3 linked regions of the Oryza sativa Japonica Group genome follow. The protein of the gene in region 1 binds, or shares a complex with, the protein of each later gene. Links are inferred from orthologs where the notes say so. Each region holds a gene or a part of one and is shown on either strand. Other genes may lie near its edges.

The links.
Region 2: large ribosomal subunit protein uL4c (region 1) and uncharacterized protein share a complex: the UniProt entries of both Arabidopsis thaliana proteins name them as parts of the 50S ribosomal subunit. The link is inferred for Oryza sativa Japonica Group from reciprocal best matches to the Arabidopsis thaliana genes RPL4 and emb2184.
Region 3: large ribosomal subunit protein uL4c (region 1) and large ribosomal subunit protein bL34c share a complex: the UniProt entries of both Arabidopsis thaliana proteins name them as parts of the 50S ribosomal subunit. The link is inferred for Oryza sativa Japonica Group from reciprocal best matches to the Arabidopsis thaliana genes RPL4 and AT1G29070.

Annotation. Positions count from the first base shown.
Region 1 is NC_089037.1:8,801,788-8,807,099, forward strand, and holds large ribosomal subunit protein uL4c, read left to right. Parts: upstream 1-2,009; 5' UTR 2,010-2,077; coding exon 2,078-3,011; intron 3,012-4,171; coding exon 4,172-4,209; 3' UTR 4,210-4,426; downstream 4,427-5,312. Other genes in the region: peroxisomal nicotinamide adenine dinucleotide carrier, read left to right, coding at 1-100, 412-480, 572-626, 805-1,007. UniProt on the Arabidopsis thaliana protein: This protein binds directly and specifically to 23S rRNA. May play a role in plastid transcriptional regulation.
Region 2 is NC_089035.1:25,928,431-25,932,989, reverse strand, and holds uncharacterized protein, read left to right. Parts: upstream 1-2,133; 5' UTR 2,134-2,217; coding exon 2,218-2,307; intron 2,308-2,415; coding exon 2,416-2,733; 3' UTR 2,734-2,994; downstream 2,995-4,559. UniProt on the Arabidopsis thaliana protein: Binds the 23S rRNA.
Region 3 is NC_089035.1:34,739,195-34,744,439, forward strand, and holds large ribosomal subunit protein bL34c, read right to left. Parts: upstream 3,309-5,245; 5' UTR 3,285-3,308; coding exon 3,041-3,284; intron 1,928-3,040; exon of another isoform or gene 1,927-1,927; coding exon 1,667-1,926; 3' UTR 1,494-1,666; downstream 1-1,493. Other genes in the region: uncharacterized protein, read left to right, coding at 3,542-4,906. UniProt on the Arabidopsis thaliana protein: This protein binds directly to 23S ribosomal RNA.

The sequences.
Region 1 (5,312 bases):
CCCTGCAATCCAATTCATGTTGTACGAGACTCTTTTGAAGAAGTTGAAAAAGAGACGTGCCTCTAATTTGAAGGGAGCTGATGGACTGACTGCTCTTGAAGTAAGCTTTTGGCTTTTGGCTTTTCTGGTGACTGGGATCATTGTACAGATTTATTAGGATATAACCAATTTGCATCATGCTAACTTGCTGCATTGGGGCCTGAATCTACCCGTAACGCTGACTTGAAAGTTTGTTCTTCTAGTAACGATGTTTCATGTCCAGTAATTATATGTTGCATGTCTTAACTTCATTTACCATGATGATTTGCTGAAAACACTAGTATTTCTTATATGCTCCTAATACTACTATTTCTTTGTTAGTTAGCTATGTTATAGACCGTCTTCATCTCACGCTGTAAAATCCTTGTTCAGATTTTCCTTCTTGGTGCTGTTGCCAAACTGGGTGCGACTGTTGTTACATATCCTCTTCTAGTTGTGAAGGTGATTATTTGAACACCAGTTACAGCAGCAGCCGTTTCTGTGCACAATTGAGCAGACATGTCAAGTTAAACCATGTTTTTTTTTTCTACAGGCAAGACTTCAGGTGAAGCAAATAATTGATGATGACAAGAGGCACCGCTACAAAGGTACATCGCTGGCCTTTATTCTTTAAACTTCATTTTATTATTTAGAGTGAATTATTATTTAATGAGTGATGTTGCTCCATATCCTGTTTCTGATAGTCTTTACTTCTCTTCTGGTAATAATATTTGCTGTTCTCTGACTTTGTTACCAAATACGCTATGCAAATTTTATTGCTTGCAGGCACATTTGATGCGATCACAAAGATGATACGTTATGAAGGTTTGTCAGGGCTTTATAAAGGAATGAGCACAAAAATCGTACAAAGTGTTTTTGCTTCTGCTCTCCTTTTTATGATTAAGGAGGAACTGGTGAAGGGCGCTCGATTATTGGTAACCGGCAACACCAGCCTTGTTAAGAAGTTACCATCGAAGCCATTAAGATGATCTAGGTTGTACAAGAGTTAGTTCCCTACTTATACCACAATTGTTTCCATAAAGCGATGGACAGAGTTGCCAAGCGCCCCTGTTAGGAGATATCAAGTTATCTGTGAGACTCTGATCGACTGTAGGCTCTCCAAAAAAAGGAGATTAAAGATGTAGTACAATTACCACTGTGATTCTTGTAGGAACCAATAATGATGGTATATATTGGGTAGGCTATCTCTGTTGCTCGTGTAAAGTATACTGTTATGGAAGATTGAAACACTAGAAAATAAGTTGGCAATGAGAATCGCAAGCGCTAGTCATCTGTTCAGATTACTTGAGTTTCTTTAGCTTGTTTGTTAGAGCTAACCGAGAAGAGGATCGCAATCGTGAAAACTTCGCAAGTGTTCAGAACAAAAGTAGAAGTAGAAAATTTGGAGTTCCTGTCCATTTTTAGCATAACTGTGTCTATGGTGCGCCCCATCTGTCAATGTGGTTCTCAGGCAACTGTTCTGATACACAAGTGCTAATGAGCAATCTGACCCGACAAAAAGGAAATGAAATTTAATTTGATTATTTCAAACTCATTTTGGTGAAACTAAGCCTCCTTCTTTACTAAGATGCAAATTCTTCCTAACACATTTTTTAAACTGCTAAATGGTATGTTTCATATGAATTTTTTACATAAAAATATTTTAAAATATCAAATAAATCAATTTCAAGTTTAAAATAATCAAAACTTAATTAAACATAAGCTAATGGGCCGTTTTCATTTTGCTTTCCTATTTTATTTCATCTTTATTAGAAAAAAAACACCATCTAATAGACTAATACTGCCTCGAGGGTTTTTCTTTAACAATATCTAAGTTTTTTTAATGAAGAGATGCTTCTTCTAAAATCCAAACACATAGTAGTGTGTGTATCTTACTGGTCTGGCGCGACCGACTAAGCTGACACTCGCGAGAGTGTGGCCGGTCCGGTCGGGTGGGGGTGGATAAGGAGATAGAGAAGCGGCCGCTCCGCAGCTGCAGCGGCAAAGCCTCCCCGTCGTCCAGCCCACGCAGCGCACCGCAGCGAGCGAAGCCGCCGCAATGGCCGCCTCCTCCGTGGCCTCGACTCTCCTCCTCTCGCTCTCCTCTTCCTCCTCGCCCTTCCTCTCCCCCACCTCGGTCTCCTTCCTCCCATCCGCCGCCGCCGCCGCCTCCTCCTCCCCGCGCGTCGCCGTCGCCGCCGGCAAGCAGAAGGCGGCTATCTCCGTCCTCCGCGCCCTTCGCGCCGAGGCGGCCACCCTCCCGGTTCTCTCCTTCACCGGGGAGAAGGTCGGGGAGGTCGCCCTCGACCTCAAGTCGGCGCCGCCCTCCACCGCGCGCGCCGTCGTGCACCGCGCCATCATCACCGACCGCCAGAACAAGCGCCGCGGCACGGCCTCCACGCTCACCCGCGGCGAGGTCAGGGGAGGCGGCAGGAAGCCCTACCAGCAGAAGAAGACGGGGAAGGCGCGGCGCGGGTCGATGCGCACGCCGCTCCGCCCCGGCGGCGGCGTCATATTCGGGCCCAAGCCCCGCGACTGGTCCATCAAGATCAACCGCAAGGAGAAGCGCCTCGCCATCTCCACCGCGCTCGCCAGTGCCGCCGTGGCCGACGATGCATTCGTCGTGGAGGAGTTCGACGAGGAGTTCGCCGCGGGTCCCAAGACCAGGGACTTCGTGGCCGCGCTTCAGCGGTGGGGGCTCGACCCCAAGGAGAAGGCCATGTTCTTCGCCACGGATTTTGCAGACAATGTGCGGCTCAGCGGAAGGAACATTGGCTCCCTCAAGATGCTAACCCCCAGGACTCTCAACCTATACGACATCCTCGATGCCCGCAAGCTCTTCTTCACCCCGGCCGCCATTAACTATCTCAACTCCAGGTATGGTGCCACCGTTTTTGATGAATATGAGGATGATACCAATGGCGAGGATGATGGTGAGGAGGAAGCAGAGGAGTTGCAAGAAGGAGAAGGGAGCGCAGAGGAGGCTGCTCAAGGTACATAGCTATGCATGAACAATTTCCAGGTGTCTTTTTATTGTTTCTATGGTGGGCATGTGCGAAATGACTTTGAGTAACTAATGCTATCCAGTGATCCTTTATTTTACATGTTTTAGTTGATAGTTAGGAGAGAAAATGCTCTGCTTTAATGGCATGTACAGTAGTTTTTTTTTTTATCTTTTAACTCTTAGCTATGCTCTGTTGTAAATATCATGATCGATGCTATACGTATGCTGATAAAGATCCTGACATGCGTTTTAAGGGTAAAAACAAGATAACGTGGCAAAGAAACAGAAAATGTAGCCAGTTTTGTCTTATGAATACCATCTTAATTATTATGGAGAAATTCTTTGTGGCCTTGTAGACTTATGGAGCTAATTTTTTTTTCGAAATAGTTCTCTTATCCTTACCAGCATGCAAAAGGAAAAATGCTTACCATGCTAATGTACATCGTATGGTTTTTTTTCCTCCTGAAAGATCCAATAAGTCCATGACATAATTCAATGGTCTATTTTAGAAGCATGCTTAGAGATCCACCTACCCCTATGCTAGCTCTCAGTAGACCCACTGAGTCTGTATTTTACTCGTTATTTTGCACCTCCTTAGGGTTTTTATTCAGAGCTCATGAGCAACTCAACAATTTGCGAATAGAAAATGACTTCACCTAATGGTGGTTAAATTTTCGGCTGAAGGTGGATTAAGTCCTAAGCACTAAACTAAAAAATAAGAAGAAATGAGACTGCATGGAATCCATGAACACCACTGAACCAGAACTCTGGGGATACTGGTACACTCCTTATAATAGTGTCACAATCTGCTGTGCCACACAGCTACCCCTATCACCTATCACTTGAAACATTGTCAGCCATTGGCACTGTCATCATTCACTTCAAAGATGTTCTGTTAGACCTTAGAACCATCTTAATAAAGTAGTTAGCTGTGAATATGCTGGTTTAAGTTGCTTTAGAGGTAAAACCTAGTTAAACACATGTTTTCTCCATCACTCAAGCACTTCCTTTTCGTAAATACTATGCATAGCTACAGGACTAAGTTATTATTAATTGACATTCAGTTCTCTGTTACATTTTGGTGCTGCATATTATAACTTTCTCTTATTTTGAGCATTTCTCAGGAACTTCTTTTTGTATGACTTTCAGATGAGGCTGCAGAGACTGAGGCTGATAGCAATTCCTAGGGAAGGAGGTGTAGATCGCGTGTTTTTCGTTTGTTGGTCTGGTAATTGCTTCCCTGATGCAGAAGCTTTTTGGCTTACTTTTGTTGTAAGTTTATAATGTTTTTTTTTCACTGATGCAGTATATTAGATCTTCAAACTGCACATATATTTTCAAATACAATGTCGTGTCAACCACTGCATATTTTTCTTCCAATTTTATACAGAAAGTGCTTCCCAATCTTGCTTCAAAAAACCAGTGTTGACCTGCTGGTTACCACTAATTTTCTACTCCCTCCGTTTCATATTATAAATCATTTTGACTTTTTTTTCCTAGTCAAACTTATTTAATTTTGACCAAAATGATAGAAAAAATAATAACATTTTTAACACAAAACAAACATGTTATCAAAAATATATTCAAAGTTACATTTAATAAAACTAGTTTGGTATTATAAATGTTACCATTTTTTTTCTATATACTTAGTCAAACGTACAGAAGTTTGACTCCGAAAAAAGTCAAAACGACTTATAATATAAAATGGAGAGAGTAACATCTTGAGTAGGGGTATGATTACAAAATCTTGTCTCCTTAAATTGTTGAATTGTTCCTTGTTATGACTAACTTTTTCGCTGGGTGAGCTCTAACAAGTAACAACTAACAAGTCTTTTCAGAGGACTTGCTGCATTTTACAATGTGGAAAGTAGCCTAGCTCAACTTGGACATGGAGCACTGGAGCAGCATAGCCCGGGTTAGATGCTGATCTTGAAACTCTAAGCCCAGATCAGTCGTAAACAACAGACCATTTTGCTCAGGTTTACTTGTAGATCACCTGAGGGTTTAGTGAACCAACCCTCTGCTTATGCCTAACCATAATGATTCCATCATTTTTCTTTCTTACCTGGGTCATGCAAGAAGAGTTGTTGGGCCATCCTTAAGTCCACCCAGACAACTTTGGACCAGATCATCACCTTTCTAATTGTTCTGACATTGCACTACAAGTGGATTATGGGCTTATGGGCAAAGCTGCGTCTGTACTTTAGAAAGGTGCAAGATCTGGTCTTTTGCTATGTCTAGTATTTTATGTCATTTTTAGCTGGTGCTATCGGTAGAATTTACTTATAGT
Region 2 (4,559 bases), on another chromosome or scaffold:
ACATTCCCCAACTTATAAAACCAGTGTGAACTAGGTCCCTCGGTTTAACTTCGGGTTTATCCAACATGACAGCTGACTTAGTGTGGGACCCAAATGAGCCCCACATGTCAGCCTCTTCTTCCCCTCCCTTGTCTTCTCTCTATCTTGAATATGGCATGTTTAGGCGTACACGGTGGTCCTCTCATGCCACTGACAGTAGGCCCATCTAAGTTATCGAAGAGACCGCTTTCACCTCGAAAAATGCTAACACAAATATTTTTACAGTTTAATTTCATGCCATTGTAAATTTGCTAATTTAAAAAAAATATCACTACTATTTGCAATATCAGCAAGGGCGGATCCAAGGTGGGTGCAGGGAGGACTCGAGTCCCCCCTACACCCACAAGACCCATGGATACCCCCCGGAGCACCCCCTTCAATTTTTTCACCATGAATGATAAACTAAAGGTTCCTAAATGGTTGGAAATTGAAGAAACAGTGTAATTGAGCCCCTCCAATATTTTGTTCCTGGATCCGCCCCTGGATATCGGGTATATGCCATTGGAATTTTACAAAATTTGAGCTATGCCACTCCATCACAATTTTTGTCACCCTCTCCTTCGACGATGGCGGCGGGCTCAGCGCACAGCGTGGAGTCATCGCATGCGACGGTAGGGAAGAAGAGGTGGTGCGGGTCTCCGTCCCCAACCTTGCCTCCATGGCTCCACCATAGTGTCGTCGGCCACAGCTTATGGGGGCATTATCAGCAAGGAAGACAATGGGGGAGAAGAAGAGGTGGCGGGTCTCCATCCCAATATAACTGTAGATTCATTGGCCGCGGCACGTGGGGCTCCACCGGCAAGGAAGATGACGGTTCTAGACGCCGCTCCCCTCCAGTGCGGGGATTAGGCTTAGCGCTCCCCTCCATCTTTCACCGGCGGCGTGGGGTCTGTGACCGCCACTCCCCTCCAACGCATGGGTTGGGCTCGGCGCTTCCCTCCACCTTCCACCAGCGATGCAGGGTTCATGACCGTCACTCCCCTCCAGCTCCACCTCCCTTCATTGGGTATTAAGCTTGCAATCGTCACCGGATTGGCAACGCCCTCATCGAAGAAGCTCTCTCCGTGCAGTCGTCGACGAGCCTGAGAACCGCCAGATTTTCGCCTGAGTTGAAGAAGAAACTGATCTGCGTTGTGCGGTGTTGAGCTAACAGAGGTATTGACAGTTGTTGTAACGGAGTGGCATAGCTCAAATTTTGCAAAATTTCAGTGGCATGAACCTGATATCGTGAATAGTAATGGCAAATTGGTAAACTTGCAATAACATGATCCAATTAACCCATATCTTTGGGGAGGCTAATGCGCACGTACGTGCTAGCAATTTAGCTGGCGCCCGCGTCAGTTGGCCCCCTCCCCTGTTCCCGCGTGCTTTTCTTTCTCACTTTTTTTTTACGATTTTGGCGCCTGGATCCGGGTGCGTTTTTCTTTTTTTTCGCCATTTCTTTCTATTTTTTTAATCTTTCGCACACCCCTTTACAAATGTAGAGTTGAAAGTTTTAAATTTTGACTTCAAAGTTTTTAAATTTGACTTGAAAGTTTTCAAATCTGAGTTGAAAGTTTTAAATTTGAGTTGAATTTTTTCAATTTGAGATGAAAAGTTGAAAGTTTTCAAAATTTGACTTTAAAAAAAATTCAAATTTCGAGTTGAAAGTTTTCAAATATGGGTTGAAAGTTTTCAGAATTTGACTTGATGTATAAATTTCTTTTCAATCTGTTACTTTAAAAAATTTTCGGAAAAAACAAATCTTATCTTGATTATCTAAAACTAATGTATTTTTTTACACGCTAAAACTAATGGACTAGTTACTACATGCGCTATGGAAAGAATCTAACCGCGCCCGTGCGGTGCCGTGCATACGCGTGGGCCAGAAGTGCGCGCCCGCGGCGCGTATGCGAGAATTAGGAATTCTGCATATTTTTACCACGTAAACGAAATAATTGCATACATTTTTTTTTCTGGGCCAGTAAGTAACCAACGTGTATCAGCCCAAACCAAACAACAATTAAGAAAGCCCAGCCAAAGCGAGGCAGGCGAGCGGCCACCCGCACGGCACCAAAGCCTCAAAAATTGAGAATCATCAACGCTTGAGAGGATAACACACACCAGAAACCGATAAGGGACACGAAACAGGGGAATCCGGAGCAAAGTGCGACGCGAGCGCGCGAGGAAGCAGCAGCCATGGCGCTCTCCCTCTCCACCTCCTTCCTCCCGACCCAAGCCGCCGCGGCGGCCACGAGGACCACCCTCCGCTCCCTCGTCCCCTCCCAGGTACGATTCCTTCGATGCCCCCACAACCGCGTAGGCGTAGCGCCGCCGAATCGGAGATTCGGAGGAGGTGATTGGAACTGGGCGGTGGTGTGACGATTTGCCGTGCAGAGGATGCGGTGCTCGATGCGGAAGAAGGGGCTGCACCCGGAGATCTACGAGGACGCGAAGGTGTACTGCAACGGGGAGCTGGTGCTGGTGACGGGGGGAACCAAGCCGGAGTACACGGTGGACGTGTGGTCGGGGAACCACCCCTACTACGTCGGCGACACGTCGGCGATGGTCGTCATGGACAGCCAGATCGAGAAGTTCCGCAAGAAGTGGGGCCACATCAAGGAGTACTGGCCCGAGGACCAGTGGAGGGAGATGCACCCCGACGGCGACCCGGAGTTCGACCCGGAGGAGGAGGGATCCGCCGGCGCCAGCTGAGCCCCCGCTTCGCCTCTCGCCTCCGCCGCCGGCCTCGCCGGTGCGGTTTCTCTTGGTTGATTTTGGGAATTGCGTAAAATGGATTAGCTCCTCTTGCTTGCGCCTCTCGTTACACGTGCATTCGCATTGCTCTCTAGGTGTTCGATCGGTGTTCTCAGTGGATACGTGTGATCATATTTGTGGTATCGAACTGTTTGTTCTCTGCCTGTACTCTTTGACATCGATATAAAATGGAGATATTGCAATTTGCACACTCTGTAATTGGACATTTCCAACTCGTTGAATCGATGCATGCTAGTGTTGGTCTGGGCTCTCGAATAGAATCGTTGCATACATCAGTTTGTCCGGTCTTCAGAATAAGCAGTAAGGGGCTGTTAGTTCACGTACTAACATTGCTAAGGTTTACCATGTTTTCTCGCTAAAGTTGAGGCCATCAAAATCCAAGCCACGCTCTAGCCAATAAAGGCTATGTTTAGTTCCCAAAAACTTTTCGCAAAAACATCACATCGAATCTTTGGACACATATACGAAGCATTAAATATAGATAAAAAAAATTAATTACACAGTTTACATGTAAATCGCGAGACGAATCTTTTGAGTCTAATTAGTCTATGATTAGCCATAAGTGCTACGGTAACCCACATGTGCTAATGACGGCTTGATTAGGCTCAAAAGATTCGTCTCGTGGTTTCCAGTAACCCACATGTGCTAATGATGGCTTAATTAGGCTCAAAAGATTCGTCTCGTGGTTTCTAGGCGAGTTATGAAATTAGTTTTTTTTTATTCGTGTCCGAAAACCCCTTCTAACATCTGGTCAAACGTCCGATGTGACACCCAAAAATTTTCATTTCACCAACTAAACAGGCCCAAAATAAAAGCATGCCACACTTTTTAGAGTCACTTACATGTGAAATCTAGATTATAAAAGAGGAATCTTGCCACATTTGTGGAACCCAAATAAACACTCACCTAACATGATTAAACTTGTCTAACCTCAAGTGTGGCAACTTATGGTCATCATCCAAACAGCCCCTAAGTGCCTTAAACATGTACTCTATACTTGTACAACCATACATACTAACTATAAGGAGTCCGAAAACCCCTTCTGACATCCGGTCAAACGTCCGATGTGACATCCAAAAATTTTCATTTCACCAACTAAATAGGCCCAAAATGAAACCATGCCACACTTTTTAGAGTCACTTAGATGTGGAATCTAGATTATAAAAAAGAAATCTTGCCACACTTGTGGAAGCCAAATAAACACTCACCTAACATGGTTAAACTTATCTAACCTCAAGTGTGGCAACTTATGGTCATCAACCAAATAGCCTCTAAGTGCCTTAAACATGTACTCTATACTTGTACAGCCATACATACTAACTATAAGGAGCGTTTGGATAATGGGTAAGGAAAAGAGATAAGGGGCGTTTGGATAATGGTCAAGGATAAAGGGATGGATAACTAATCCTAAACCCCCCACAATATTAGCTGTAGATGAGTTGTGACCTGTATGGATCAAATGAATTTTGAAGGTTTGGAACAAAGGAAATAACATCTTAAATTCTGAAGGAAAGGTGAGATATTTGAATTCCTTAGTTTCTCACTTTATCATATACAGGCGAGGTGGTATATGATAATTGATATCCCTTTCCCACCCTCTCAAACCCATTATTAACCAAATAGGTCAAGGCTTTCTCTTGCATTGGTACATTTTTGGATTTTGTAACACCAAACCAGCAGGGCTTACACCTCTACCACGTTTTTTTTAAAAAAAAAATAGAAAGAGAAAGAAAAGAAGAACAGAAAGGTGGAGTTTCGGCAAA
Region 3 (5,245 bases), on another chromosome or scaffold:
CTGCCGCTGCTCACGCGGGCGGAGCGCGACGGCCGGACGCTGGACGAGCAGGACGTGCTCGAGCGCTTCGCGTTCGACAACGTCTGCTGCGTCGCCTTCGACGAGGACCCGGCGTGCCTCACCGAGGAGGGGATGGGGACGAACGCGCGGACCGAGTTCCTGCGCGCCTTCAACGACGCGCAGAACATCCTCATGGCGCGGTTCATGTCGCCGGTCGAGTGGGCATGGCGCGCCAAGAGGCTGCTCGACTTGGAGCCGGAGAGGCGGATGCGGGAGGCGCTCGCCACGATCCATGGCTACGCCGACAGGATCGTCCGCGAGCGGAGGGAGAGGGGCGCGGCGGGGCTGGCGCGCAAGGACGACTTCCTGTCGCGCTTCGCCGCGACCGGCAAGCACAGCGACGAGAGCCTCCGCGACGTGGCACCAACTTCGTCCTCGCCGGGCGCGACACGACGTCGTCGGCGCTGACCTGGTTCTTCTGGCTGGTGTCCGGCCAGCCGGACGTGGAGGACAGGATCGCGCGCGAGATCCGCGCGGTGCGCGCGTCGAGCGGGAGCACGGACGCGGCGGCGTTCAGCTTTGACGAGCTGCGCGAGATGCACTACCTGCACGCGGCCATCACGGAGGCGATGCGGCTGTACCCGCCCGTGGCCATGGACTCGCACTGCTGCCAGAACGACGACGTCTTGCCGGACGGCACGTTCGTCGGCAAAGGATGGCAGGTCACCTACAGCGCGTACGCCATGGCGCGCTTGGAGGAGTTATGGGGCGCGGACTGCGAGGAGTTCAGGCCGGAGCGGTGGCTCGACGAGGACGGCGTGTTCCGGCCGGAGAGCCCGTTCAAGTACCCGGTGTTCCACGGCGGGCCGAGGATGTGCCTCGGCAAGGAGATGGCATACATACAGATGAAGTCCATCGCGGCGTGCGTGTTCGAGAGGTTCAGCTTCAGGTTCGTCGGCGGCGAGGGACGGCCAGGGCTTGTGTTCTCGGTGACCTTGAGGATGGAAGGCGGCTTGCCGATGCGAGTGAAGAAGAGGAGGGATTCAGTTTGTTAGAATGTAAATGTTCTCTTTGCTACTTGTTGCCTTTCATTTATTCCAGGTTGAGTTCTGGATATTATCCATTTTTTCGCCTGATAGTAGCAAAATTATAAGGTGACAGAGGATTGGATGGGCAATCAGGTTGTTTTACAAATAAGTGTGTACCAAAGAGATTGGCACAGAGGAGGTGGATAAATTGTGTTACACAGTGGAGCATGGAGTGACTATGATGAGATGATCTGAATATTAAAATTCACTGGACTGTATCAGAAAATAAAAGGGACGTTCTACTACAGAATAGAAAAATTGATGAGTTTATTTGAGCAACTGCTCAAGTTAGCATTTAGGCCCTTTGGCAAAATCTATGCTCAGAATGCAGTCAAGATAGATCAGAGGAAAACCATGGCAATGCAGATCAAGGAGAACATATTCCCACAGCAAACAACTACTAAATACTGCACAAGCAAAAAGGCTAACTTGAATTTGTGTTGATAATGTACTTCACACATTAACCGGACACCGGGTGAAGGATTTGCACCAATTGTTATGGTTGAGTATAACCGAGAACGTGGGATAAAAAAATACACTTACAATTGTGACAAAGAGCGACTTAGAATGCGATTCAATCAGAACATTCGTTTCTTCCCAGTGGGGGAGTTCGTCTTTGTGCAGAGAACCCTTCTTCCTTTGGCGCGTCTGCGCTTCAGGACCTTTCTTCCGGCAGTAGTCCTCATCCGTCTGCGAAAACCATGTGTACGGGCAAGCGACTTCCTAGATCTATTTCTCTTGGTCATGCACAGAGCAGCCTTTCCAGCCCTAATCTGCAGAATCCGGGATCTTCCTGTTGTAACTCTGTTGTAGCTGAATTCAATTCCCAAAGATGAACCTGAAATATGTAACATATTAGGATACTGAAATCATTTGTAGGTTGGAACAAATATGGTTTGATACATAAGAACATGGATTTGCTAAATACAACAGTACAGCACAGAAACCGGCTATTTGATTGCCCTTAGTTTGTGTTTTTGTTCTCTAAGATCATTTGGAAAAAAACTCTAGTATGTAAAGTACAGTTCATTTTCCAAAAGGATAATATCATTGCAATAGTTCCTTTAATCTAACGTTATTGGCTTGTTTTAGGAGCATTTTGGTTTTGCTTTAGGTGGCAAGGCTATTAATTGTAACTGAACTGTTTAAAAAGTTGAGTTGTCCAGTTAAACGTTCTTGATTCAGTGATTTCGTTAGTTCGTAGTATAATTATGTTAGATGATATATTTCATAATGAGTTTACTAAATTAAGCTCATGCGCTCGCTCCAAAAAGTGGAGTTTCCTGAGTTTTTGTGATGTTTTCATGATTCTGTCGCAAGAATGTACTACAATCTACAGTCCATCTGGCACTACTGGAAATCACAATATCAGTATCACAGTACATGGAGGAAGAAAAGAAACTTTCAGCCGTGTAGGTTTCCTAACATGGAACCATCTAGAACTAATCACTGAATTATGAATATATATACACGTTCTTACACTAAAAAACTGGATGTGTAAACAAGTGATTTTTTTTAATCTTAATCGGAATCCACATCTTAAGCAAAATTCTCTAGCACATGGTTAACTATAAGAATGCGTGGGCTTTAGGATCAGACATTGCAGATTATAACAAGCTGCGTACAGCAGCTAACAAGTACGGCAGAGTTTGAATTTAAGATTTCTCAGGAAATTGCCAGAATACCATCAGAACTTTCAAATATATCAATTGCATTAAAATCGCTAGTTTAGTTTAGTTATCTTCTGACATTAAGCACTGATTAACTGTACACGCTACCTATCTGACAGTATAAACACTCCATTGTACAGTACTTAAAGCCGAAACCAGCAGCACAAAAGTTCATTCCTCCCTTTCTCTTTGCAGGCAACTCTCTCCTCCATCTAGTTCCCCAACCCAAATGGTAGCAACAGAACGAAGCGAATCAGGAACGAGTAAAGTACACATTCTCACCAGCAAATGAGGAGGCAGAGGTGAAGGTCAGCGACGCCGAGACCGCGGCAGAGAGCGCGGCGGGGGAGGCGGAGGCGGATGACGTGGAGGAGGAGGAGACGAAGGAGCTCCGGAGGAACGGGGTGGCGGCGGCGCCCATCGGGGATGCCCTGCGAGAGCGGAGGCCGCCGCCGATAGCCGCCGCTGAGATCCTCCCGGAGTGGAGTGAGAGAGCCGCCATTGGCGAGACGAGGGCGAGCGCCATGTTTGGGGAGTCGAGGTGCGGTGCAGGGCTATGGCTATCCCCACACAATGTTGCTTTATCGTCTTATCCACGACGAGATGCGATTCTTGGGCCAAATCATGGGCCTTCGTCTTAGGCCCACTCATGTTAGGCCCATTAAGAGGAACAGTTCGTCGTCTTCCTAGAAACAAGTTCACCACCGTCCGCCGCCTGCAGACGGGGCTTTATTACACAATCAGCCACCAGATCTCATCGCCGTCGGCCGTCGCCGTCGCCGGATGGACCCGAGCCGGCCGTTGCTGGGGCGGGGCGCCCTCATCACCTCCTCCGCCCACGCCGCCGCCGCCCTCTTGCTCGTCGCCTTCCTCTTCCTCACCCTCCGCAACCTCCCCATCTCCCTCTCCCCTCCCACCGCCGCCTTGACGCCCACCACGTCCCACCTGGAGCAGCAGGATCAGGCCAGCTGCGACACCACCTCCACGCTCGACTGCGCCGACCCGCAGCTCTTCCACCTCATGATGCGCCGCGCCATCGACGCCTTCCCCGACGTCCACTTCAACCGCTTCGGCCGCCCCGTCCCCGGCGACCCGCCGTCGTCCTCCTGCGACATGGCCTGGCGCGCCCGATCCACCGCCTCCGCCAACTACAAGGACTACCGCCGCTTCTCCGTCGCCCGCGACCCCGTCACCTGCGCCTACTCCGTTACCTCCATCGGGGAATACCACTCCGGCCCCCTCGCCCGCAAGCCCCGCCGCGGCGGGACCAACGCCACCGCCCCGCCGCCCCCACCCGCGCTCTCGCGCTCCCAGTTCGCCGCGGGCAAGTACCTCTCTTACCTTGGCGGCGGCGACCGGTGCAAGCCCATGCCGCATTATCTTCGTAGTCTCCTCTGCTCCATCGCCGAGGCCCGCTACCTCAACCGCACCCTCGTCCTCGATCTCAGCGTCTGTCTCGCCGCCGCCTACGCCGGGGGCATGCCCGAGGAGGGCAAGCGCCTCGCCTTCTATATTGACATTGAGCACCTGCAATCCGTGGTCGGGATCGTTGAACACAAGCGGTTCTGGGAGGATTGGGACAAGTGGGGAGCACAGGGTCAGCTTGGAGTCCGCATCATCGAGGACAGCAGGGTTGCGCCCACCAAGTTCTCCAAGTCGAGGGATCCCCTGATCGTTAGGAAATTTGGGGACGTGGAGCCAGGGAATTATTGGTACAATGTGTGCGAGGGCGAAGCTGAGCATGTCCTCCGTCCACCGCAGGGAGCAATACGCACGGCGCCAAGCTTGATGGACATTGTTGATGGTATCATATCAAGGATGCAAGTAGATTTTGACTCTGTTCATGTTGGTGGCAATGATGGGAACCTCAGAAGAAGGATTGAGGAGAGACTCAATGGAGGAGGAAGGCAGGTGTATGTTGCGGGAGAGGGCATCAACGTGGTCTTGTTGGATGCGCTGAAGGCAAAGTACAGCAGTGTGCATTACCTAGATGCGTTTGAGGAACTCTGGGCGAGAGATAGCAAGTGGTTTCTGGAGATGAAGAGGCTCAATGGTGGAGTTCCTGTGGAGTTTGATGGATACATGCGTGAGCTTGTTGACAGGGAGGTCTTCCTCAAGGGGAAGAAGAAGGTCGAAGTGCTCGTCTGATCTACTCTCTGAGATTAAGGTGTCGAAGAACATGGTATGTATCCAAGGGAATCTTCTACTCTTATCTGATATTTTCTCTCTACATCACTAGATGATTCAGTCAAACATTGCTTAGGAGATTTTTTTTTTTGTTGATGTTCAATGTAGCACATGCAACCCACTGCTGCTCAAGAGCACTAGTAATGTGTAAATCTTTTCCTTCACCAAAGGCGATTCAGTCAAAATCCCTTCCAAGGAAATTTTGTTAACCTTCAGTTGTAATACATGTAGCTCAGTGTTACTTGATAGCACTATGTATATATCTTTTCCTTAAAGAAGGGTGATTCAGTAAAGATCGCA